7 linked regions of the Canis lupus familiaris genome follow. The protein of the gene in region 1 interacts with the protein of each later gene in a biochemical or structural test. Links are inferred from orthologs where the notes say so. Each region holds a gene or a part of one and is shown in the gene's direction. Other genes may lie near its edges.

What was found.
Region 2: of the proteins of LRRK2 (region 1) and SH3GL2, one has a biochemical effect on the other in vitro, tested with the Homo sapiens proteins (2 studies listed by BioGRID and IntAct). The link is inferred for Canis lupus familiaris from reciprocal best matches to the Homo sapiens genes LRRK2 and SH3GL2.
Region 3: of the proteins of LRRK2 (region 1) and RPS15, one has a biochemical effect on the other in vitro, tested with the Homo sapiens proteins (2 studies listed by IntAct). The link is inferred for Canis lupus familiaris from reciprocal best matches to the Homo sapiens genes LRRK2 and RPS15.
Region 4: of the proteins of LRRK2 (region 1) and RAB8A, one has a biochemical effect on the other in vitro, tested with the Homo sapiens proteins (2 studies listed by IntAct). The link is inferred for Canis lupus familiaris from reciprocal best matches to the Homo sapiens genes LRRK2 and RAB8A.
Region 5: of the proteins of LRRK2 (region 1) and RAB5B, one has a biochemical effect on the other in vitro, tested with the Homo sapiens proteins (2 studies listed by IntAct). The link is inferred for Canis lupus familiaris from reciprocal best matches to the Homo sapiens genes LRRK2 and RAB5B.
Region 6: of the proteins of LRRK2 (region 1) and MAP2K6, one has a biochemical effect on the other in vitro, tested with the Homo sapiens proteins (2 studies listed by BioGRID). The link is inferred for Canis lupus familiaris from reciprocal best matches to the Homo sapiens genes LRRK2 and MAP2K6.
Region 7: the proteins of LRRK2 (region 1) and ECHS1 interact on a protein array, tested with the Homo sapiens proteins (2 studies listed by BioGRID and IntAct, with this or other methods). The link is inferred for Canis lupus familiaris from reciprocal best matches to the Homo sapiens genes LRRK2 and ECHS1.

Annotation. Positions count from the first base shown.
Region 1 is NC_049248.1:33,246,660-33,250,159, forward strand, and holds part of LRRK2 (leucine-rich repeat serine/threonine-protein kinase 2), read left to right. Parts: intron 1-3,070; coding exon 3,071-3,258; intron 3,259-3,500. UniProt on the Homo sapiens protein: Serine/threonine-protein kinase which phosphorylates a broad range of proteins involved in multiple processes such as neuronal plasticity, innate immunity, autophagy, and vesicle trafficking.
Region 2 is NC_049232.1:37,823,448-37,826,947, forward strand, and holds part of SH3GL2 (endophilin-A1), read left to right. Parts: intron 1-1,333; coding exon 1,334-1,464; intron 1,465-3,500. UniProt on the Homo sapiens protein: Implicated in synaptic vesicle endocytosis. May recruit other proteins to membranes with high curvature. Required for BDNF-dependent dendrite outgrowth.
Region 3 is NC_049241.1:57,874,495-57,877,450, reverse strand, and holds RPS15 (40S ribosomal protein S15), read left to right. Parts: upstream 1-1,354; 5' UTR 1,355-1,450; coding exon 1,451-1,453; intron 1,454-1,804; coding exon 1,805-1,890; intron 1,891-1,984; coding exon 1,985-2,219; intron 2,220-2,310; coding exon 2,311-2,424; 3' UTR 2,425-2,456; downstream 2,457-2,956.
Region 4 is NC_049241.1:46,760,030-46,764,004, reverse strand, and holds the start of RAB8A (ras-related protein Rab-8A), read left to right. Parts: upstream 1-1,175; 5' UTR 1,176-1,184; coding exon 1,185-1,308; intron 1,309-3,975. UniProt on the Homo sapiens protein: The small GTPases Rab are key regulators of intracellular membrane trafficking, from the formation of transport vesicles to their fusion with membranes.
Region 5 is NC_049231.1:669,367-672,866, forward strand, and holds part of RAB5B (ras-related protein Rab-5B), read left to right. Parts: intron 1-2,565; 5' UTR 2,566-2,665; coding exon 2,666-2,828; intron 2,829-3,500. UniProt on the Homo sapiens protein: The small GTPases Rab are key regulators of intracellular membrane trafficking, from the formation of transport vesicles to their fusion with membranes.
Region 6 is NC_049230.1:11,084,174-11,088,333, reverse strand, and holds the start of MAP2K6 (dual specificity mitogen-activated protein kinase kinase 6), read left to right. Parts: upstream 1-1,360; 5' UTR 1,361-1,641; coding exon 1,642-1,657; intron 1,658-4,160. UniProt on the Homo sapiens protein: Dual specificity protein kinase which acts as an essential component of the MAP kinase signal transduction pathway.
Region 7 is NC_049249.1:41,450,931-41,453,591, reverse strand, and holds the end of ECHS1 (enoyl-CoA hydratase, mitochondrial), read left to right. Parts: intron 1-956; coding exon 957-1,024; intron 1,025-1,900; coding exon 1,901-1,966; 3' UTR 1,967-2,161; downstream 2,162-2,661. UniProt on the Homo sapiens protein: Converts unsaturated trans-2-enoyl-CoA species ((2E)-enoyl-CoA) to the corresponding (3S)-3hydroxyacyl-CoA species through addition of a water molecule to the double bond.

The DNA of each region.
Region 1 (3,500 bases):
TTCCGTCATTGCACAGAGAAGTTTGCAAAAACTCATTTAACCATATGATAAAAGAGATATGAAGGACACTTACTGAATTAATCAGGTGGAACATTAAAAAGCTTGCATGGCAATGTAATCTTGTTAAAAACTTGGGTGAGGAACTTGGGAAATTTTCTTTCTTTGCATAACGGCATACGTTAGGAATTATAAATTATGAGGCAGAAGGAATATAAAGAGTTCTTTCAAAGGTGATAAAATTTAGATAACATTTCAGTTTTGCATTGCTATGTAACAAGATACCCCCAAACTTGGAGTAAAACATCAACATTTTATTGTTTCTCACTGTTCTGTGGGCTGACCATGCTCAGCGGAACAGCTCTGCTGCCATGGCATTGGCAGGGGTCATTCACTTGGCTTCCTTCATTGAGTCAAGCTGCTGAGTCCAAGAAACTTACACTCACATTTTTGGTATGTTGGTGCTCCACCATGTAGTCTTTCATATGACCAGTCCTCTCAAAGGGTGGGCCCAGAGCTGATAAAATGTCAGTTGTGCCATGTTCTAATGACTGGAGTAACCATAGAGCCTATCCAGGTTCAAGAGGAATCAAGGATCCTTCAAGAAATGAAAGATCAAACACCACACCTGTGTAGGAAGAGAAGCAATTCATGTGTCTGTCTTTGGAAACCATCTACTACAAATAGTGGTAGTGCACCATAGATCTACTTAAAAACATCAAGCACAAACTCCTATTTTATTTTATTAATTTTTAAAAAGATTTTATTTATTTTTTCATGAGACCCACAGAGAGAGAGAGAGGCAGAGACACAGGCAGAGGGAGAAGCAGGCTCCATGCAGGGAGCCTGATGTGGGACTTGATCCTGGGACTCCAGGATCATGCCTTGAGCCAAAGGCAGATGCTCAACCACTGAGCCACCCAGGCATCCCAACAAACATGCCAATTTTAAATCAATGTTTCTAGGAGTGCACAGCTGGCTCAGTCAGAAGAGCTTGCAGCTCTCAATCTTCCAGGTTGTGAGTTCAAGCCCCATGTTGGGTATAGACATTACTTAAAAAAACCTTAAGAAAATTTTAAAAATGAAGTCAAAGTATCAAAATAAATTAGAGTGAGTATATAATAATGGCTAACATACAAGGGGTTACTTATGTGCTATTCAAACATTTTCTCATGTAATTCTCAGAGCAACTCTTTTAAATGGTACTAGATTAGTCCTCATCCTGAAGATGAAGAAATTGATGGACAGAGAAGTTAAACAATTTATCCAAATCAACATATTTAGGAAGAAGTAGAGTTGGGATTTCAAACTAAGTAGTTTGACTCCAGTGCCCCTAAATCAAACCCCAGGATAAAATGCTCTACACTTTCTTTTCCCCAGATTCACTCATCCAACATTGATTTGAGACCTACAGTGTCCCAGATGTTGTTCTGATGCTGGATAAGCATTATAAGCATAGATAAAACAATGTTCCTGCTTTCGTGAAGCTGATATTCAAATAGGAGGAAATAACCAATAAATAAACACTTAAAATGTCAGGTGGCAGATGCTGTAAAGAAAATGCAAAATATGGTTGGAATAGAGAGGGAGTTGTCAGACAAGGTCTTATCAACTTTATTTTCAAACAATTAAAAAAAACTATGGATTCATGAGACACATACACACACAGACAGGCAGAGGGAGAAGCAGGCTTCTTGAGGGGAGCCTGATGTGGGACTCGATCCTAGGACCCCAGGATCATTACCTGAGCCAAAGGCAGATGCTCAACCACTGAGCCACCCAGGCACCCCTGGTCTTAACAACTTTAAAAATGCCAGAACAGCAACCAATTTTCCTTACCACCTGATTTGTAAGAGCAGTCTGGGCTCTAAAGTGCACAATATGGGAGAAGTCCCACACTGCAGTTTTTATTATTTAATGACCCATTTATACATTGTTGTTAGACACCATTGTGTTCAGCCAGTCATGCATTCATTGATTCAATAATGATTCAATACATATAATTATGTACCAAACAGAGATATAGAGATAAAGGAGATAAGTCCGTGGACCTAAGGATTTTACAATCCAATATTTCACCCACCTACATGATAATGTACATAATATATGCTCCTATTGAAGTATCCCTTATATGCTAAAGATCGAGTAAAGAAATTAAGCACAAACTTAAAAAAATCATTTGGCTAAGTAAAATGAATAGGAATATGTAGATAGTAATAGCTAACATATGAGGGCTTACTATAAGCTAAAAATTGTCATATGCACTTTGCATGCCTTTTGTATGTTATCTTATTTCAATGTCATGACAGTCTAAGGGTGAGTCACTTTTATTATCTGATCTGATTGAAACTGTGGCTTAAGGAAATTATATACCTTTCTCAAGATAACGCAGCTAGTACTAGAACATGGATTTGAACCTGGGTTCTTCTGAAGTTAATACTTTTAACTTCTGTGATGATGGTCAAAGCTGAAAGTATGGTCTCTATAGTAGAATCATCGGAGTTTCTTGTTAAACAAGCACATTCTCAAGCTTCATCTCAGACCTACTGATCCAGGCTCCATCTGGAGTCCAGCGAAATTCTGTAGTTACTTTGTGTAAGAATCACTAACCTGTACCACATACTGCCTCTCTTCCTATTGATGGAAACCGTTTTCCTTTATGCTCAAGTAACATTTCTAAGGCAAACCTGTGGCAAACCTGTAATGAGAACATAGTCTAGAGGATAATTTCCCAATAAATATATTGTTGATGAGGCTATAATAAGGATGAAGGGTGTTGGATTGATTTGTTAATTGGAGCTGGGGAAGGTTTAACATTCATTGATTGCAGAGGATCTCTATAATATTTGATTTGCATTCACTCTCTTAATTTTTTTTTTTTTTTGTGGAGGAATGGTTGCCCTACTGGGCTTCTGGTTACAGGGCTTCTAGTAGAGAAATCAGGTGCCCTGTTACACTTGACAACATTAAATTGTTTTGATCATATCAATAGCAAAGAGACACAAAATGCTTTAAATTAAACACTTTTCAGAGAATGAATTCTAGTGATTATTTACGAGTTTAAATCTTTCAGATTTTGACAGTGAAAGTGGAAGGCTATCCAAAACATCCTAAGGGAATCATTTCACGTAGAGATGTGGAAAAATTTCTTTCAAAGAAAAAGAGATTTCCAAAGAACTACATGTCACAGTATTTTAAACTGCTAGAAAAATTCCAGATTGCCTTGCCAATAGGAGAAGAATATTTGCTGGTTCCAAGCAGGTAAACCTAAACTGGAAATTCACCATCTATTATATGTTTTAATTGTCAAAATAACTTTGGTTTATGATAAATGTATTAATTTTTTTGCTTCTTGTGTACACTCTCTACTGAAATGTAACATTTATTTTTAATGAAAACACTACATTTGACACTTCAAAGGTATAGTAAATGATTTGTTTTATGTATGTAATTACTGTTTGGTTTACCACTACTTGAATTACTTAAGAAAGGAAAATAGTGAT
Region 2 (3,500 bases), on another chromosome or scaffold:
GATTGGGAAACTAGGATGCTACCAAGGATAATGCATGTGATTTACTGAGCAGATATTCTCTGTAGGCACTGAAGGCTTACCATCATCAGTCATCTAACAGTCCTATAAACTAAGTATGATTAGCCTTACCTACAGGTGGAAAGGCCCAGCGAGATAAAGTAACTAGCCTCAGGTCACACAGTGGTACAACTGGGGTTTGCCAGGCAAGCATAGCCTATTTGAAAGCCAGTTATCTTTTCACACCATTTCCCTGAATGGTGAGCAGGTCCTCCAGCATCAGAGAGACAGCTTTCCTATGCCTGTTCCTCCTCCTCAGAAGCACCCTGCAGCCGGGCATAGATGTGTTCCTTGTGATTAGGCCTCCCCATAGTTGCAGGCCACTGCCTGACACCTGTAGGCAGAGGCCCTACACTGTAGTACATGTCACTTTGTGCATCTTTGGTCGATGCACCCTTGTGGGAATGTGTGTCCCACTCTGAAGCTTCTAGAAAGATTTAAACCATGCACTTCAACATACTAAAGAGATATTATTATTTGCCTTTATGACATCTGTTGAGCAAAAAAGGCCATTTTCTCTTTTTCCTCTGAAACATGTTAAAAGTCCGTATCATTCTGTAATCACCATATTTTAACCTCTCCCCATCCTTGCAAATCTGCTGGACACTCTACTTCATGAACATGAGACTGTGAATGGTAGTTGGAGTGCGTGGAGTACATTAGTTGGCCATACCTTTCCACTTTCCTCCTATCTTCCCTCATTTCTTTCCCACTTCTTGCATCTTAAACTGCTCACTGTTCTCAGGACACATGATATTTCCTCCTTCCAGACCTTCTCAAGCTCTTAAACTCTTTCTTCTGGAAAGAACTGTTCATCTGGAAATGACTCTAAGCTGTCTTTTCTCCCTCTCCATAGGCCTTTCTGTGGGCAGGTAGACTCCTCCCCACTCCCCATCTCCATCCCCATGTCCCCGTAGCATTCTGTGTGTCTCCATAACAACACTCACCACGGTTTATGGTTTACGATCCTCAGTTTACCTTCTGTCTCCCTTCCAACTATAAGCTGCTTGAGGGCAAGAATGGTGTCGTATGCGTCTTCATGTTCAAGAGTGCACATTTGCAAAGTGAGCTCTGAATAAATAAGGAAGAGGTGAGGGATGGAGACAGGATGAAGAGGGCAAGGATCTGACCACAGAGGGACATCACAGAAATGTAGAGACATACACAGAGAAGGTGGCTTTGCATTAGGAGCTTTCCTGGATGTTAATTGCTTTTCTGTTTGCTTCTTAATTGGCTCCATGCTCCTATTCCCCCCTTCCTTGTCTTTTTAACACAGAATAAGACAAGCTTCATCTCAACCTAGAAGGGAATATCAGCCTAAACCGCGAATGAGCCTGGAGTTTACAACTGGAGACAGTACTCAGCCCAATGGGGGCCTCTCCCACACGGGCACACCCAAACCTGCAGGTAAGTTGCTGAGACCTGCAGACCCCATTACACAGGCTGTGGGCACATGCCGTCGATACTTTTCCAGAAATTCTAGGTGCAGCCTGGCTGGCTGCACAAGAAACTATACAGTGATACATTTCTTACAGGATGGTTTTGTCATGTAGAAGCTCTTTTAAAGCACTCCATCCTTATTTTCCCATTGATCATTTCTTTGCCTCCTTTTCCCCCTTCTCTCCTCTAGAAATGTCCCTTTTTCTCTCACCATTATCAGCACCCATTAACCTTCTAAGTAACACAATTGATTTTGACCTCTCTTTGTGGTTTTAATTTACCATAGGTGTCAGGGGTGTCATCTTTCTTTTCTGTTTCCCCTGTGTTCCAGCCTGCTTGAGGGTGAATGCCCTGGCAGGGTGTGCCCACATGCACTCACATATAACCCATAGACAGCAACTCCAGGAACATATCAAACTGGATTTCTTAAGTCACTGGAGCCTATGGGTGACTGTACGTATAGACAATATATTTTGAATATCAACATCAGCTAGCTTTCCCTCCTTCCTCCACCTTCAACCAGTTCACTGTACCCTGGCAACTGAGGTTGGTATAGTAAAAGCTAAAATTTATTTTCTATCAATATCAATAATATTGATGTATACCCAATAATATGTTTTTTTAGTTGACACCATTGCTCTCTACCCCGTATAATACAGATTAAGGAAAAGCTTGTGCTTGAGACATTTTCAACCTTAACAATTTGTTTGGTTGAAGAAGTGGAAACTGTCTTACACTGGGCATGGACTTCAAAGAAATAAGAGTGTCTCCTATTTTCCCTGTGACCCACTGCTTGATGTTTGTAGTAGGAAATGTTTTATGAAATGCTCTCTGGAGACCAGGAAATAAAATCGTGAGCTCTGTGGTGGTAGTTGGCACTCTCCACCCTTTGTGTTCACCTAACTAGTTGCTTGAAGCTGCCCAGGGTAGGGTATAATCAGCAGTGGCTCTTACAAGTTAGCTGGCTCCGAGGACTAATCATGTAAATTGGGATTAGTTTGCTTCTCCCTATTCAGAAACCAACCACATATTTTACTCTTCTTTTGGAGACTTGGTCATTTTCTGCTTTCTTAAAGTAAAAAAAGAAAATAGATTTTAATTTAAAGTCATCAGACATGGGGGCAATATGTACTTGTCTGAGTTTACATGCCCATGTGGATGCATGCTTTATTAAATATAGATGGTCATTTAAAATAGATCACTTTTAAGATACAATTCCATTCCTCATTATCTTACTGAAGGCAGAGCGTGTTATTTTTGTGTGCCAGAACTCCCATGTACTCATCCTTATATATGCAACAGTTTACAAAGAGTAAGTTATATAATTTTTACGTAATTTCACTTGATAGCCACAATAGTATTACGGCGTAGATCCTATTAGTTATAATGCTAGGCAAAGAAACTTGAAAGGGAAGTACCTTGTATAAAGTCACCCAGAGTATGAACTCGAACCCAGTGTCTTATATTGTTTTGTTTTCACCACATTACAGCAGTTTTCCAGAGGCTGGAGTCTTTACTTTTGAAAAATGAGGACGCACAGTTATTCTGAGGTTGCTAATAAGCATTGTCCATGTAATGAACCTGACTCTTTCACATGTACAGAGATTTTAAAATGCTAACATTGAAAGCATTCTGACCATGTTCTAGTAACCTAAATTCCATCAAAATTCCTTAAGTCACTGGGTCTCCCATCTCTGGACATTGTCAGGAAGGCAAACCTTGGTGGACTGTGTTGCATGTGTCACCAGCATAGATGAGGCCGTTATTCATACTGGAAATGGAAGCACATATCCAGCCACTTCCAGGAATCTGAGAAAACTTCCAAAGACTCGTGAAGAGCAGATGCTATGCAGTGGACTGGGGACTAGCCTCAAGAGGAAACTTCAGCAGGAAGAGGAGTGAGGGAGGAAGCAAGGAGGATGGCGGGCTGGAAAGGTTAAGCAGGTGGTAGACTTGTGAGTTAAATGCCCCTTGTCTTTCTGTATTCTTCTCTCCTGCTTTCA
Region 3 (2,956 bases), on another chromosome or scaffold:
AGATTTCCTGTTCCCTCCAGGCCAGCCCCAGCTCCCCACAAAGCCAAACCCCACCCAGCAAACTGGCCTGAGGCCAGGAGGGGGCTGGAGGCCCGGGGCTGCCGTTCCCACGGAGACCAGCCCGGTCAGCTGGGTGGGGCAGAGGCACCCACCTCACTCCTACCCCGCCCGCCCGCCCCGTGTTCAGTGCTGTGACCCTTACCCTCGGGGTTAGCACCGCCACTTCACCTTGTTCTCTGCGTGCGTGCGGCTGGTTCTTGTTTCTATGCTTCTGTTGTTTTTGCTTTACGTGAGAATTTTCTAGTGTAGCATTTTAATTCTTTTAATGATTATTTTTTTCATATCTTTTGAGTCATTTTCTTAGAGGCTGCTCTAGCTTAAGATGCACCATCGTGGGACGCCTGAGTGGCTCAGCAGTTGAGCGTCTGCCTTTGGCTCAGGGTGTGATCGAGTCCCCATCAGGGTCCCCGCAGGGAGCCTGCTTCTCCCTCTGCCTGTCTCTCTGCCTCTCTGGGTGTCTCATGAACAAATAAAATCTTAAAAAAAAAGATTCATCGTACTAACCCTCTGTAAACACCTCAGGGCACAGAGCACACTCACCCTGCCGCGCACCCACCCCCACCACCATCTCTAGAACCTTCCCCATCCCCAGGAAGCACTGACCCCCGCCCCCTGCCCCACCCCTGGCTCCCACCACCTCCTCCTCTGTCTCTGTGGACGGGCCTCCTCTGGGGACCTCCTGGGAGTGGGGTCCTGCAGGAGGCGTCCTTCTGGGTCTGGATCCCCTCCCTGAGCCCGGTGTCCTCGGGGTCCATCCACGTGCGGCAGGTGTCGGGCCCCTTCCTTCCCGGGGCTGGACCGTATCCCGGGTGTGGTCGTATCCCCTGGATGGACACCGGGGTGCTTCCCCCTCCTGCCCCCCGTGAGGCTGCTGCGCACCTGCGCCCGTTGGAGCCCCAGCCTTGGCTCCCGGGTCACAGCTCCATCACAGCCCAGCCCGTCCCTTGTGCCCAGTCGCGGTTACACGTCACCTGCACACCTGTTAGGGAACAGAGCGGTGCCCGGCGGTTCCGGGGCTCCGCGTGCTGAAGCCTGGCGGGTCCCCACCCGGGGCGCCTTCTCGCCCCGCCCCCGCCCCGGCTCCTCCTCCGCGCTCGGGACTCACGGCCGCCCCCCCTGGAGCTCCCATCCCGCGCGGCGCTGAGCCCGACCCCGCACACAGCACCTGGGCCCGGGGAGGGCTGCAGGAGGAGGCGGATGCGCAGGGCCCAGCGAGGGTCCCAGGTGCCCCGCCCCGCCTGCGCTGCGCCCTCCCGCCAGCAGGGGGCGCGCTCCCCCGCCCGGAAAGCGGAAGCGCGTTCGCGGACGGCGAGGGGGCGGGGCGCGCGGGGCGCACGTGATAACCGCGCAGGCGCGGAGCGGCGGCCTTTCCCGCAGAGGAACTGGCAAGATGGTGAGTACTCTGGGCTTCCGCGGCGGTTCCCGGCCCATCCGACGCCATCCGCGGCCTGGCCGCCCCGTGAGCGCCCGGGTCCGGCCGCCCGGCTGCGGCAGCCGCCTCCAGGCCCGCGGGAGCCCCGGACGTGAGGGCGCGGGGCGGGCCCGGTCCGTGCCGGGAGGACGCGGGGCGAGGCCGGTCCCCGCCGGACCCCAGCCGCCCGCAGCCGCGTGTGCGCTCCCGGGCCGGGCGCGTCGTGGCCCCGTGGGCTGCGGGGCGCGGGCCGGGTGGGCGCGGCGGCCGTGGGGCCGGCTCCCACCCGCGCTGCCCCCCTGACCTCGCTGCCCCCGCGCCCGGCCCGCGCAGGCGGAGGTGGAGCAGAAGAAGAAGCGCACGTTCCGCAAGTTCACCTACCGCGGCGTGGACCTGGACCAGCTGCTCGACATGTCCTAGTAAGCGCGGCCGGGCGGGCGGGCGGGCGGGGCGGGGCGGGGACGGGGGCGGGGGGCGCCCCGGCTCAGGCCCCCGCCTGTCCCCGCGTCCCAGCGAGCAGCTCATGCAGCTGTACAGCGCGCGGCAGCGGCGCCGGCTGAACCGGGGTCTGCGGCGGAAGCAACACTCGCTGCTCAAGCGCCTGCGCAAGGCCAAGAAGGAGGCGCCCCCGATGGAGAAGCCCGAGGTGGTGAAGACGCACCTGCGGGACATGATCATCCTGCCCGAGATGGTGGGCAGCATGGTGGGCGTCTACAACGGCAAGACCTTCAACCAGGTGGAGATCAAGGTTCGCGGGGCTGCCGGGCCACTGGGGGGTGGGTGGGGGGCGACCTGGCGGCCTGCGCCCCGTGACGCCCTCCCCTGCTCGCCCTCCGCAGCCCGAGATGATCGGCCACTACCTGGGCGAGTTCTCCATCACCTACAAGCCCGTGAAGCACGGCAGGCCCGGCATCGGGGCCACGCACTCCTCCCGCTTCATCCCCCTCAAGTAGCCGGTCGGCCAATAAAGGCACCGACTCCCGGACTCGTGTGGTCCAGCGTCTGAGCTTGCTTCCTCCCGTCGGCGCGCGCCTGGTTTCCCGCCGCGGGCGCCGGCTTGGCCCCACCTAGCTGCGGTCGGTCGTTGGCAGCCTCCTGGCATCCCCTGGGCCGAGGGAGGCGTCTGCCCTGGGGCCGTGCCCTTCTGGGGCCGCGGCTCCCCACCTCTCCCTCCCCGGGGTGGGTCCACAGCTGGAGCGGATGACTGCGGGTATTTCTGCTCAGGTGCATCCCCCTTGTCGGCACAGGGCACCCCGAGGTGGTGGATGGCCCAGACTGGGTGCTAACTGTCCGGGCAGTGGGGGCTGTAACTCGCTGACGGATCACAGGTGGGGAGACGGGAGGCGGTGCTCTGGGTTTGCCCCGAGGGAGCTGACCTGGGGACAGCAGGGAGGTGGGAAGCGAGGTGCCTTCTGTGCGCCCAACAGTGGTAAGGTGTGCGCACCCCTGGGAGCGGAGGGATGGCCAGGTGCTGAGCTGGGGCCC
Region 4 (3,975 bases), on another chromosome or scaffold:
AGGGGGCCAGGCGTGGGCGACGGGAGACACCCGCAAGGAGGGTGGGCGGCGGCTCCGCTGGAAGCTCCCCCCTCGGCCCCCCCCCCCCCCCGCCGCGCCCGGATCCAGATCCGAGTGTAGATGCCCGCACCCCCCGACGGCGCGGCCCACCTCCGACCCGCAGGTCATCTCGGGCTTCCCAAGCCTGCGCGTCTGAGCTCGGGCCCGGTTCCCCATTCGGGAGCCTGGGGAAATCACTGAAGCTCGGTTTTCTAACCCATCAACGGGCGGGAAGCCCAGTACCAAGCCGGCGGGTCGGAGTGGGGCCACCTGGTGTTGTTTTCCCAGTGCGGACCACTCGGGCAGGCCAACACCAAGCTCGGAGCCACGTCCCAGCATCCTCACGGGGCTGCATCCGCGGCGGGGCGGCCGGCGCTCGGGCTCTGGGCAGGCTCCGGTTAGGTCCGAGGGCCTCGCGGCTCGGGTGGCGGAGGCCCGGCAGCGCCAAGCGGTCCCCTGGCCAGCGCCGAGGCCCCGGAGGACGTCTCGCGGGGACCTCGCTTCGACCCCGGCTCTGCCTTCCCCTTCGCGCGCCGGGGCCCGACGCCGCAGCCGCCGCACAACGCGGCCACCCGCGCGGCCCCTTCCCGCGTTCTTCCCAGCGCCTACTGAGGCTGCGCAGGCGTGAGGGCGGGAGAGCCAGGGCCCGCCGCGCGCGCGCCCTCTGCTGGCGCCTAACGATCCCCCCGGCCCCGTACGCACGTCCCAAGCCCCGCCCCCGAGCCGCGGGCGCGCGGAGCCGTTGGCGACGTGCCCCGCCCTCCCCTCCCGCCGGGGGGCGGGGCCGCCCCGGAGCCGGGAGAGGTGGGGGGGGGGGGGAGAGGGAAAGAAGGCGGGGACCCGGGAGGCCACGCCCCCCGCCGGGCTGCATTTGAAGCCCCCGACTCTTCAGGGCTGGCCAATTGGAGCCCGCCCTGTCCCGAGCGCCGACCAATGAGCGGCGCGCTCGGGCCGCTTCCGGCACCGCGCCTCGCTCGCCCCTTCCCCAGCTCTCCCCGCGACGGGCGGGGCGCGGGAGCGGGCGGCGGCCGCGGTGACGCGCGGCGGGCTGGGAGCCAATAGGGGGCGGGCTCGGCGCTGATGGACGGGGCCCGCGGCCAGTGGCGAGGCGCTGGCCGCACTTCCCGTCGGGGAGAGAGTGTAATATGGCGAAGACCTACGATTACCTGTTCAAGCTGCTGCTGATCGGGGACTCGGGGGTGGGGAAGACCTGTGTCCTGTTCCGCTTCTCCGAGGACGCCTTCAACTCAACTTTCATCTCCACCATAGGTAGCGGGGCCGGGGAGCGGCGGAGGACGCCGGAGGCCCGGGCCGGGCGCGCCCCTGAAGGGCTGGGGTTGAGGGAGCGGCTGGGCCGGACGGATCCAGGGATCTGAGAGGGTCGAGGGGGCCGGAGGGGCGGAGAGCAGCCGCCTCCGCCGCCTTCCGGGGGTTACCGGGCAGCGGGGGGAGGCGGCGAACCAAGTGCCCATTTTGCAGATGGGGGGACTGAGGCCCCACCCCTCAGGCTGCTTGTCAGGAAGTATGTGTCTCGGGCTGGGGTCCCGGCTCCGGTCGTCTCGTTCTGTTCACACGGCAGCCTTCGAAGCTGTTCCTTTGGGGTCCCCGCCTTACAGAAGCGAAACAGGCTTGGGGAGTAGGCCATCGGAAGAGGCCTGTGACATCTGAACCTTATTAAGCATTTACTGTGTGCTAGCCGCTTTATGGGCATTATCACACTTTCCAGTCCTCTGTGTTAGGTGCTCTAAATGAGCCCGTCTCACATGAGGAATTTGAAGCTCAGGGAAACGGGGGACTCCCCCAAGGTCACGTCTGCAGGTGGCAGAGGTGGAATTTGAATCCATGTGGGTCTAACACGAAAGCTCAAGGCAGGATCCTGCCGGAGGGATGTGAGCGCTGGTCCCCAGGGCAAACACTGCTGGTCCATCTGAGAACCAGCACTCTCAACCAACTCTCTCCTGCTCTTTCCTCTGGAATGTTCAGGGGGTAAGCCCGGCTCCCTGACCCTGTTTCCCCTATGGGTGAATTTCTCCTAGAAGGAATGGTGAGAAGGAGTCTGGAGCCTTTCTCCGCCCAAACTTCCATCACTTGAGGGTGTCAAGGGTGAGTGACCACTGCCTGCCCTAGGACCTGTCACCCCCAAGGAGATGCCAGATAAAAACTTGAGTGACAAACCAAAATCAGCCGCTGCCACAGACAGCCCTGACTTCCCTATCTGGAGGCCCAGAACACCAGTTGTCACTTTGCAGAACAGCCTTTCCCACAGGGCCAGCCCACATTGTGGTTGAACAGAATTGGCTTGTTGCTTCTCAGTTCTGATATCCACAAAAGTGGAGCTGACTTCTCCCGACGCCACAAAAACAGCCATTGCCCATGTGAAAACATTTGACCTGGAAGTAACGCCGATCAAATCGCGTGGCCTGTGAGCTCCACAGCCTTGCTGCAGAGTGGTCACCAAGCTCAGGAGTTGATTCTGAATGGGGAAAACCTGGGCACCAGGCTTTGCTTTACCCCCGTGTAACTTGAATCCAATCACCTTATCTCTATGAACCCCGTGATGAGCTGCTCATTCCATCCTTGCCCTCCTCCAGGAGCTGCACGTTACAGTTATGTTCCTGATGCAGAGTGGAGAGAATCGCACTGGAAATCGTCATGCCTGCTTGCCAGCTGTTGTTTGCCCTTGAACCAGCACTTAGCCTCTCTGAGTCCTATTCCTTCAGTTTAGGACTAATGCTTTCTGCCTTGGCCAGTGCCCTGGATGGTTGAGGATCAGAACTATATAGTGAATAAGAGGTGGTCATCATGGCCAGAGGCTGCCTGGAGGAAGCAGAATGTCTCCTGCAGTGACACCATCCCCTCCCTAGACACAGATGCTTCTGATTCCTCCCCTTCCACCACCCCAAGGTCAAACTTTGGGACAACCCTTGCATCCCATCCCCACCGGTCAGGAAGAGATGTTAACTCCTGGCAGGCTGTGGCTCGTCCTCAACCCAGACCTCAGTTTCCCAGCCTCAGGAACTTGCTGTTCAGTACAGGCACTAGTGAGATCAATTCAGAGATTGGGCTTTTTTGTTCGGTTTCTAATTCTCAACCAGAAAGCCCAGTCTAGCACTTTAGGGCTCTGAGAAGACTGGCCTCCACTTCCAGACAAAGATATGACTTGGGCCAGGTCACCTGGGGACACAGGTCGCACTTGAGCCCGGAATCCCTCCCTCCTCCCACCTTGGCATTCTCATTACATTTATAGTTTTCCTGCAGGTCTCTGTCTTCTAAGAAAATTTAATTCATCCTGGCCTTGAAGTAATGGCCTCATAATTCTTAGCCTTGTAAAGTTTACACTTCCTAATTATATTTGGTGTGTTCATGAAATGCAGGAAGAGATGAGGACAGAGTGATGCTGTGGAACCTTGCCAGTAGAACGGTGCTTCTTGATTTTATATGGCCCTGTGCATCTGTGACAGGAGGTGGGGAGTGTTTTAGGAAGGAATAGCACTGGGCCCCTGAGTCCTGAGACACAAACTGACTGGATAAAGGTGATTCTCTGTTGGTGCTGAGTGTACCTCTGGGCTTGCTTTATAGATCAGGGATTAAGTGGCTGTTCGTTTCCTGCCCACGTTTCGTTTTGCCAAAGCCTATTCTCCTAAGCTCCATCAATCATTTGTGGTGTAAACTTGGCCCCGTGGCTCCTGGAATTGCTTCTTCACAGCCTGGCTCAGCTTCCAACGTCTCCTCAGGGTCCCATTCACTCATTCCTTCAGGGAGACAGATGGCACAGCGTCAAAGTGCTTCGTAAACCACGCAGCACCATGTAGACCCCGTTCCTCTTAGTTCTATTGTCCTGCCATCTTTCCCCAATGCCTGCTGGCTGCCAGCAGGGCTGCACATCTGAATGACTGCATGCCAGCCGGTCTGCATCTGCATAACTTGGATGAATCA
Region 5 (3,500 bases), on another chromosome or scaffold:
CTTATTGTTAAATACTTCCATTCATTTCTATTATAATTATCATTTCATAAGAGCTCATAAGGCTATTATCCCATTTTACAGATGAAATGAATGCACAGATTTAGTAACTTCCTCAAAGCTTCAGAGCTAGTAGCACAACTGTAAAATACACCCAGTGAATTGGACTTCACTGTGTTTCCCAGCTTTACTAGAATTGCAGATTGTTACTAGAATCAACCTTTGAGAAAGGAAAGATTCATTTGAACAAAGTACAACCCAAGCAATGCTTAGGTTTTGGACAGAGGTTTTTACATGCTCTGATCATATTAACTCCTTTGGTGGTTCATTTCCCCTCAGAGTCAGAATGATGAAATATAAATTATATTCAGGGTTGGATAATTAGACCTTCAAAGTCTCAACGTCTCTCTGGCTCTTCCTTCACCATCAGCTTTCCAAGCCCCTTGAAAGGTAAAGAAGGTAGCTCAGTTTATTTTCATCAAGTGTTTCCTGCTGGAAAGCTTATCCCTACAGGGTACCTGGGTGGCTCAGTTTGTTAAGTATCTGACTCTTGATTTTAGCTCAGGTCATGATCTCAGGGTCCTGGGATCAAGCCCCATGTCTACCTCCACACTCAGGGCAGAGTCTGCTTAGGATTCTCTCTCTCTCCCTTTTCCTCTGCCTGCCCCACCCCCACTCACGCTATCTCTCTCTAAAATAAAATCTTTAAGACAAACAAAAAAATAAAATAAAAAATAAAAAGACAAACAAACAAACAAAAAACAAGAAAACTTACCCCTACATCATCCTCTGGAGACTCCTACATGTGTTTAGAAGGTACATGCTCTTTCTTTGCCTCTAATTTGGAGGCCTACAGCTGTTAGGCCCATTTAGTGTGGAGGGTAATCCAATCCCTCGACACCAGGAAGACAGCTGCAAGTTGAGAGTAGGCCAAGCCTACCGATTCTTATTCTAATAGATTTTCAGACTTGGAGAGGTAGCAAGACAAAGTGGAAGAGTTGATGCTGAATGTGGTCTGTTGGTTGTCTGTGGTCCTTTTTTTTTTTTTTTTTTAATTATTATTTATTTGTTTCACAGAGCACATAAGCAGGCAGAGGGGGAGGGAGAAACAGGCTCCCCACTGAGCAGAGAGCCCGATGTGGGGCTCAATCCTAGGACCCTGAGATCATAACCTAGGCCAAAGGCAGATGCTTAACTGACTGAGCCACTCAGGCACTTCTATGGTCTATTTTTCTATTTTCTACTCACCTTTGGCCAGAAACGAGAAAGGACAGCTTTTCTGGCAAATGGACCCTGGTTAGAGATTCAGAAATATCAAGAAGACTGGTTATAGATGAAGGATATGGAACCAGAAGCTACCCCTCTGCTCTTAGGGAGGGGTGACTAATCCCATACCCTTGTAGTGAATCTTCCATTTTGAAAGCTAGAAAAAAAGATGGGAGTGGGGGGAAGAACAGTACCAGGATACTAATGAGCTACTGGGGACTTAGGGCATGTATGGGTGCATCTGGGTGTTCTTCAGGCCAACTAAAAGTTGTTTGGTTTGGGGTGCCTAGATGGCTCAGTTGGTTAAGCATCCAACTCTTGGTTTCAGCTCAGGTCATGATCTTAGGGTTGGGAGATGGAGCCCTGCATCAGACTCTGTGCTGAGCTTGCAGCCTGCTTAAGATCCTCTCTCTCACTCTGCCCCTCCCCACTTCTTGGTTTGCTGTTCTTTGAAGACCTGTGGTGGTGTGGTGCTGGGGGACCTGGGTGGCTTAGTGGGTTGAGTTTCTGGGTTATGGTTTCAGGCTCAGGTCATGATCTCATGGGTTGTAGGATAGAGCCCTACATCCTGCTCCAGGCTCAGCTAAAGTCTGCTTAAAGAGTCCCTCCCGGGATCCCTGGGTGGCTCAGCGGTTTGGCGGCTGCCTTTGGCCCAGGGCGTGATCCTGGAGTCCCCGGGATCGAGTCCCACGTCGGGCTCCCGGCAGGGAGCCTGCTTCTCCCTCCTCTGGTGTCTCTGCCTCTCTCTCTCTATGTCTATCATGAATTATTTTTTTTAATTTATTTATTTATTTATGATAGTCACAGAGAGAGAGAGAGAGAGAGAGAGAGGCAGAGACATAGGCAGAGGGAGAAGCAGGCTCCATGCACCGGGAGCCTGACGTGGGATTCGATCCCGGGGACTCCAGGATCACGCCCTGGGCCAAAGGCAGGCGCCAAACCGCTGCACCACCCAGGGATCCCTCTATCATGAATTAAAAAAAAAAAAAAAATGATGAGGAATTAATGGGAAATAAACATATAACAGTTTTCCATCTCTCCATTTCAGCTCCCTTGGCAATTGAGGATTATGTAGTAGGGCAAACTCCACTTCAGATGCAATTCTTATTTTATTGTTTCCCATTCTTGCCACGGAGTGTCAGCTGCCTGGGACCCTCTCAGTGGGATAACCTTTTAATGGTGGATGATTTTAATTGCTAAGTCCTCATAGAAGCAAAGAAATGAAGAGATTTATCTTTTCTCTAAAATTAATTGCAGCTGCAATGTCCCTGTGTTTAATTTTACCTACTTTTTTTCTTGCAGGATTGTTGAAGCCTGAAGTCCCCTCCCCTTCCCCCCTCCCCCCTTTGCCGCTTTGTGGCATCCCCCTCCCTCTACCCTTCCCCATTCTGATAATCTAGCCATGACTAGCAGAAGCACAGCCAGGCCCAATGGGCAGCCCCAGGCCAGCAAAATATGCCAGTTCAAATTGGTCCTGCTGGGTGAATCTGCAGTGGGGAAGTCTAGCCTGGTATTACGTTTTGTCAAAGGGCAGTTTCATGAGTACCAGGAGAGCACCATTGGAGGTGAGTACCTCAGGGAAAGAAGAGGGTCAATGATTAGTGAGGCTTTTGAAGGGAGATCGAGGGATCTGACTGTGTAGCTGGCCTTTTTAAGCTCCTTGGAATGGAAATCCTTTATAAAACTGGAAAAAAAAAAAAAGTCCATAATGCCAAAAAGTAGTTATATGCTTGTCCCCTTGCTTCCTAGAAGAAAATTAGGATGACCTTGGCACACCAAGGTCACTTAATTTTTTAAAGCCCAGTTTGTCTTCTGCCTCCCACTTCTCTCTTAATCCAATTGAAGTTCAGTTGAGTGTCATCTAGAACAGGGTTGGCTTGGAGCAGTGATTCATAATCAGAAATGAACATCAGAATCTCTTGGGGAACATTTTCATCCTGTCATGCTTAGGCCCTATCCTAGATCTACTGATTAGCATTGGAACTAGAGTAAGGGTGGGGAGATAGAGACCTATACGTTTGGAAAAGCTTAGATGATTCGGATGTACATACCTGGTAAAAGAGAGGCTGGAACTAAATACAAAAGATAAAAGGTATGTGCCTTTTCCACCTTTGCTACCATCTCCCTTCTACTCCCAAAACAGGGTGCTAGTTAGTAAAAGACCTTTTATGAGAACTCCCATGTTACTCCTTTCCCGCTTTTACTAGTTACCTTGGAAATGTGGTGTTTTTGACCAG
Region 6 (4,160 bases), on another chromosome or scaffold:
CCCTTTTTAATTTCCCACTACTGACCTGACCTATCTCTAGACCCTCCGAGAGTTTCCATTCATGGAGATAGCTGAGGACAAATTTTCTGAAAACAATGCTTTGATTCTGTTAAGCGCCCCCCCCCCCCCAAAGCCTTTCACCTCCCAAGTACCTGCTGAATAAAGTCCAACCCCCTAGTTGGCCTTTACCGCCCAGCACAGTCCTCACCTACACATTCTGTCCACCACCACTTTTGCATACAAGCAACATGGTATCCTTAGTGTCTCCTGAATAGGCTGTCTTCATTTCCTTACCCTGCTTGTTAGGGTCTCAGATGCCTACAATCCTCCATTTCCCCCACTCTACCTTGAAAGCACATTTCTGAGTCTGGTCTACTCAGTAAAGCAGAAGTCTGAGCTCATTTCAGCCCATGCCCCCAGACTCGGTTTCATTCCTTGCATGGAATCACCCTGCGCATCTCTGGCTTCCTTGCGTAGGGGGTGGCTCTGTCTACCATATTGCTGCCCATCCCCTAGCCATGAACAACACATGACAAGTGGATGCCCCAAGACCCTAGAAAGGAGGCTGGCCCATCCAAGCTCAACAAATACCTGTTAATTTTGTCGACTAAATTCAAGATACCTGATTTGCTTAAGATTACCACCCCGTTTCTCCCTTACACCAGGGACTTTCCTCCTCCATCAGGTGAGAAAAAAAAAAAAAAACAACTAAACATTTTAACTCTGATACAGTTAGCTTGGACACCTAAAAAGCAGCACTTCCTCTTTAACCCTTCAAGAAATGAGAACTATCCGCCCTCCCATCCCCCCAACCCCCAGGAATGAATGAATTTCAGGTTTCTTGAAAATAACCGACCCGGATCATTTCTTAGTAAAAACTCTGCATCTTCTCTCTTCAGTTGCCAGGGGTCACCTTACCTCTAAACCAGGCCAAATCACCAACCAATGCTCCATGCGAGAAAACTGTTCTAAAAAAATGGAGGTGTGGGGGTAAAACGTCTACGGGCAAGGACACTGCAACAGGTGCTGCCCTGCAAGCACGAAACAGCCAAGCCAACCTTCTCGGCGAGCCAAATGCTTTTCAGCTAACCTAATGTTCTTCAACTGTTGTTGTTTCAGGGGCTTTTCCGTAACAAAAATGCTCCCTCGCCCTGGCCCCGCCGTTTCTGGCCTCATCACTTCACTACCGACTGCATGTCTGACTTGTTTATCTGGGTGCACCCAGTCCTCCCGCTCAGCGACCCGAGCGACCACGTTTCCTTAAATCCGAGCCCCGTGGACTCTGCTCGGAACTACATTACCCAGCGGCCCCTGCGCCCTTCGCAGGAAGGACGTCTGCGCACTAAGATACTCAGTTCCAAGTTTGGAGCTTTTAGCTGCCAGCCCTGGCCCATCATGTAGCTGCAGCACAGCCTTCCCTAACGTTGCAACTGGGGGAAAAATCACTTTCCAGTCTGTTTTGCAAGGTGTGCATTTACATCTTGATTCCCTGAAAGTCCATCTGCTGCATCGGTCAAGAGAAACTCCACTTGCATGAAGATTGCACGCCTGCAGCTTGCATCTTTGTTGCAAAACTAGCTACAGAAGAGAAGCAAGGCAAAGTCTTTTGTGCTCCCCTCCCCCATCAAAGGAAAGGGGAAAATGTCTCAGTCGAAAGGTAAGAGGCTATTTGCATTACTTGCAAAAATGCAAAGGGTTGTGCATGCATTTATGAATGCATGGATGCAATTTTCGCCTGGCGATTGCATTTTTAAGTTTGAGGTTTTCCACAGCTCAGTTGCATTTCCTGTTTAGTATGTGTCTTTTTTTTGCAGACACAGAGAGTTCCTGTAAGGCAGGGCTTGCAGTTCAGCTGTGCATTGACGTTATTTGCATTCTTCTGCTAGGATTACTGAGCTCTTTTTGCCTTTTGCACAGTCAGGAGAGATAGAGCAGGTTGGTAGCGTCTAAATGTGCAGTGCTTTATATAATTGTAAAATTCTTTAGTATGCACACACATTATAAGTAATTTTATGTGCAACAGGAATACAAACTTTTAAAAAGTCCGTAGGTGAAGATGAAAGGTAAAAGTTGAGTTAAACTAGTAGGAAATTAATGTAATCTTATATTCCTTTGGGAATAAACCGTTGCGGTGCCTGTTTTTAGCTAAATTTCCATTGATATCGCTTTGAACATTAAGCAACTTTTGATTTTTAAAGGAAGTAAAGGTGAAGTGTGAATAATAACATATTACCAAAAAAAAAAAAAAAAAGCAGACGAGAAGTCTTTCTCTTCTGAGATTTTGCACTGTACACCAATTGCTTATTGGCTCACAGTATTTAGAAGCAGCAGTGAGGACATAGATGTTTTATGTCTCCCCATTTGGGAGATGCTTTGCATCTTGGGGGAAAATATGGGGAGAAAAACTGTACTTTTAAGCATTATACCAACAAGAGGGGACTGCACCGTTTTGTTGAAAATCATAATAAAATCTTTTAAATGTATAATTTCATGTATTTAGACATCTATACTAAGTCAGAAATTCAGGGTTATGGTTGTTTTTAATTTTTTTTCATTTTCTTGATTTTTTTTTTTTTTTTTTTTTTACACAGTTGTGTTTTGCAGCCCTAATGTCATTCTGGGGAGGGGATTTTAAAAATTTCTGACATGGCATTAGAGAGCTAAGGGGGTGTTGTCAGGTGTCTCTAGGACCCTAAGTCACTTGTTTCAGAACAAATCCTTCCCTATAGAGAAAGCATATGCCATATGAGGATGTATGGAGGGAAGAGGTGAATTAGGTATAGGTGAGTAAGACTACATGCATGGGTAAGATCTGGTGAAATTAAAGTGTCTCATAAGCTTTCTGCCCTTTTTTTTTTTTTTTTTTGGCTTTTTGTTGAATCCCTTTTTAATTCCTGATGAGAATCATACATCTCAGACCAAGAAGGAGGTGATATATATTCTCAAGAGTTCAAAGTAAGGCTGTGTTTTCCTTGACCATTAGGGGAGAATGGGACTCTGGAAAGCTCAGAGTGCTGAAGAACGTAGGAATTGGCATTATGAAGTGCAGATGTTCCTTAATAGAGGGAAAACCTACAATCTCTTAGACATAACAGCTTCGAATGGGCATTCCAAGCTTTGATGTATTAAAGAGCTGGCATCAGTTACTTTGTATTTGGTATACACTTATTTATTCAATTCGGTTTAATAGATGTATAAATATGTATGTGTATGTGTGTAGGTATCTGTACATATTCATGTATGTGGATGTATGAGATTTTAAATAGATAGATAGATAGATAGATAGATAGATAGATAGATAGATAATGTAGTGCATAGGATTTGGGGGCATACAAAAATATTTAAAATGTACCTGTTTCCTTCAAGGAACTTACCATTTAGAAAGCACGTATGCAAATCATGATGATACAAGATTATTGTATAGATAGTAAAAAGAAATGTCCCAGTTGGAGTTCAGAAATGGCAATGATCTCTCTGGGAGATAGGTTTCATGAAGAAGATGGTATTATAGTGATCTTATCTTTGGACCTTAGGGTCTAAAGTAAATCAGGTTTCTTTTCTACTTTTTTTTTTTTTTTTTCCTCACTCTGAAGGTAGCTTTGTCCTAGTAAAGCAAGTTTCTGAGTTGAGAAACTAAAAGATACTAGCATGGCACACTTCTATCAGGAGTGCGCCCACTGTAGATCAGATACTGGTGGTGGTTCTTCAGATCAGTTCCCAGTTAGCCAAATGGTTTTTGTTAATTGGGTCCTCTTCGGAAGGTACATCTGGTGTCAATGTGAGGTTCCTGTGCAGAAAGAAAATTATCGATAGAAGGAAGTGGATGATCATTTCAGAAATGGCATGGAAGCCTTGGCCTGGATGTTAAGTGTGGAATTGGCCTAATTCAGCTACGGTATTCTCAAGTGGCCAAGACATTTTTCGCAGTACCAAACTGCTTTGTAATACTATAACCAAGTGGAATGGGAGGCAGAAGTGAAAGGTGGACACAACCTCATAGTATTGAAGAATTTAACAACATGTTCAATTCAAAGGACCTTTACGAACTTTCTGGATCACTATAATTCGGTTTCACAGACCTCTAATTTAAGGCAGAGCAGAGGCAAAAGAATTACAGACTCTCTGGGAGCTGGAAGGACTGGGCTACTTCTTCCCAGCCT
Region 7 (2,661 bases), on another chromosome or scaffold:
GGTCTGCGGCTCCTCTGCAGGGAGGCGGGCGGGCCCCCCGGGCTGCTGGCCTTGGCTGAACCGCCGTGGGTGATGCGTCCCCACAGAATGAGCAGTTAGCTCACGCGGGGGCGGCCCCCGCTGCTTGTGCTGTCCAGGCGCCTGCTGTCCGTCCAGGTGCTCAGCCAGGGACACCACTTCGCCTTCCCGGGGCCACAGTGCCCTGCCCGCCCAGGACTCTGTTATGGCACAACGTTTTTTACGGTTTTCATCCTTCATTCTCATTTTCTTTTTAATTTTATTTATTTATTCATGAGAAGAAAGACAGGCAGAGACACAGGCAGAGGGAGAAGCAGGCTCCATGCAGGGAGCCTGACGCAGGACTCGATCTCAGGTCTCCAGGATCACGCCCTGGGCTGAAGGCAGCGCTAAACTGCTGAGCCCCCCGGGCTGCCCCTTCATTCTCATTTTTTAATGCTTTTTAAAATATATGTAATTCTGGGGGGGCACCTGGGTGGCTCAGCCCACAGAGCATCTGACTCCTGGCTCAGGTCGTGATGTCAGGTCGGGAGCCGAGCTCCAGCTCCAGCTCCGTGCTCAGCGGGGGTCTGCTTGTGACTGTGCCCCTCGCGCTGCCCCTGCGCCTGCTTGTACACGCTCACAGTTTCTCTCAACATAACATTTTAAAAACTAATAAGTAGTATGTGATTCTCTTGGCCCTCCAGTCCTCTTGTGCTTGCACAGAGTTGGCCGTCGCACTCTTGACTCCATTCCTTGTTCCTCTCCTGTGGGGCCGCCGGCGGGAAGCCGGGGGCAGGGGGCGGGGGGGGGGGGGTCTTCGTAGGCGACCGTGTAGGTCACAATATCACGACAAAATCGAGGCTGATTGGGTCAGTGGGGAGTGTTTCCTGTCCCCATGAAGAGTTGTCTGTTCCCACATCTGCCCCTGGGTCATAACCTAAGGGATTTCTTTTCAGCTTTTGAAATGACGCTAACGGAGGGAAACAGGCTGGAGAAGAAGCTCTTCTACGCGACTTTCGCTACTGTGAGTGAGCGTCGGGGTGGATGGACGCGGGGCCCAGCCAGAGAGCGCGCCGGGGAGGTCCCCGTAGGGCTGCGGTAAATGAGTTGTCTGCCGCCCTGCAGCTGGATCAGATGCGTCCTGCCCACGAGCACAATTAGCAAATAACTGCCCAAAGTATGAAGCGTTACATCCTTGACCAAGGTCTCAGGAATCAGGAATCGCGCCCTTAAACGGCAGCCTCCTGTATTTAAAGGCAATCCATCTGCCGTAATTTTCTAGATCGTTCCAACGACTTGGCGTGGAGTTGGAATGTATCTAATGCTGTGTTCTGAGGCTTCAGAACAGTGTCCTGCAGGATTTGACAGTAAGCGAGAGGCAGTCCTTCTAGTAACAGGTGTTGAAACCCACCTGCCGCGATTAGAGTCCTAGACAGGTGTGTTTTATGGGAGCTCGGAAACGGCCGTGGCCCTCGAGGAAGTGAAGGCGTGCGTGTGACCATGTGCACGCTCGTGCGTACGCGCAGGGAAGGTGTAGGGCTAGGGCTTGCACGCCTGTGTCCTGCTCCATGGCGCTCAGGATGGTCCTCCACGCGGACCGCCACTAAACCCAGGGAGCGAATTAGTGAACGGCCCAAGCAGGTGCGTCTGAGGCTCCCTGGGTGAGAGTTTGACACACGAAGCGGTGGTTCTTGGATGATCACCCCTGGGGGCTCCGGTGGCCGGGGTTCCAGGCCATGCGCAGGTGCGCAGGCAGTCCCGGGGCAGGACCCTCCCCACCCTGGGAATCTGTCAGAGGAGCCCAGCAGACCGAGAGCAAACCCAGAACGGGCCGAGCCCGTGCCTCCGCCCGTAGGAAACCGGGAACGTCCATCTCTACCTATTTTCCTTCTCCCACCAGGAAGACCGGAAGGAAGGGATGACCGCGTTTGTGGAAAAGAGAAAGGCCAGCTTCAAAGACCAGTGAGCGCCTCCGCCTCTGCCTTGAACCCTCGACTCGAAGACAGGAATTACGGTCTGACGGTCTTAGAAGCAAATAAATTCTCTAGTAAAGGGCCCTGTAGGCGGCACGCAGTCTCTGACGCACGGGGCTCTCGCTCTCCTGAGTGGGGGCGGTCTTCACCCGGCGGTCCTGAGACTCCGTGTCTGGAGCCTGTTCTCATTCTGACTGAGCAGATTCTTAATCAAAAATTCTCACACACACACACACAAATTCTTACGAGGGGAGCTTGGGCGGCGCAGTTGGTTACGTGGCTGGCACTGAGCCCAGGTCATGATCTCAGGGTCGTGGGGCTGAGCCCTGCATCGGGCTCCCTGCTTGGTGGGGAGTCGGCTTCAGACCCTCCGTCTGCTCCTCCCCACACTCGTGTGCACACTTGAGCGCTCTCTCTCTCTCTCTGTCAAATAAATAACCCTAAAAAAAAATCCTGCTGGTGAGCCCTCAGTGGTGTGTGTAAGTTTTCACTTGACTTTAGGGACTGAGATATTTCGATGCCAGACTCACTCCGTACAGCCTGCCGTGTTGAGATGGACGCGCGTTCCCCCGGTCGCTGTGCAGCTTCGCAGCCCGTGAATGTGAAACTCGGAGGAGGGCGCCACCGGCATGCAGCGGACGGAAATCACGCTGTGCCTCTCCTCGTAAGCAGACGCCACGTCGCTCTT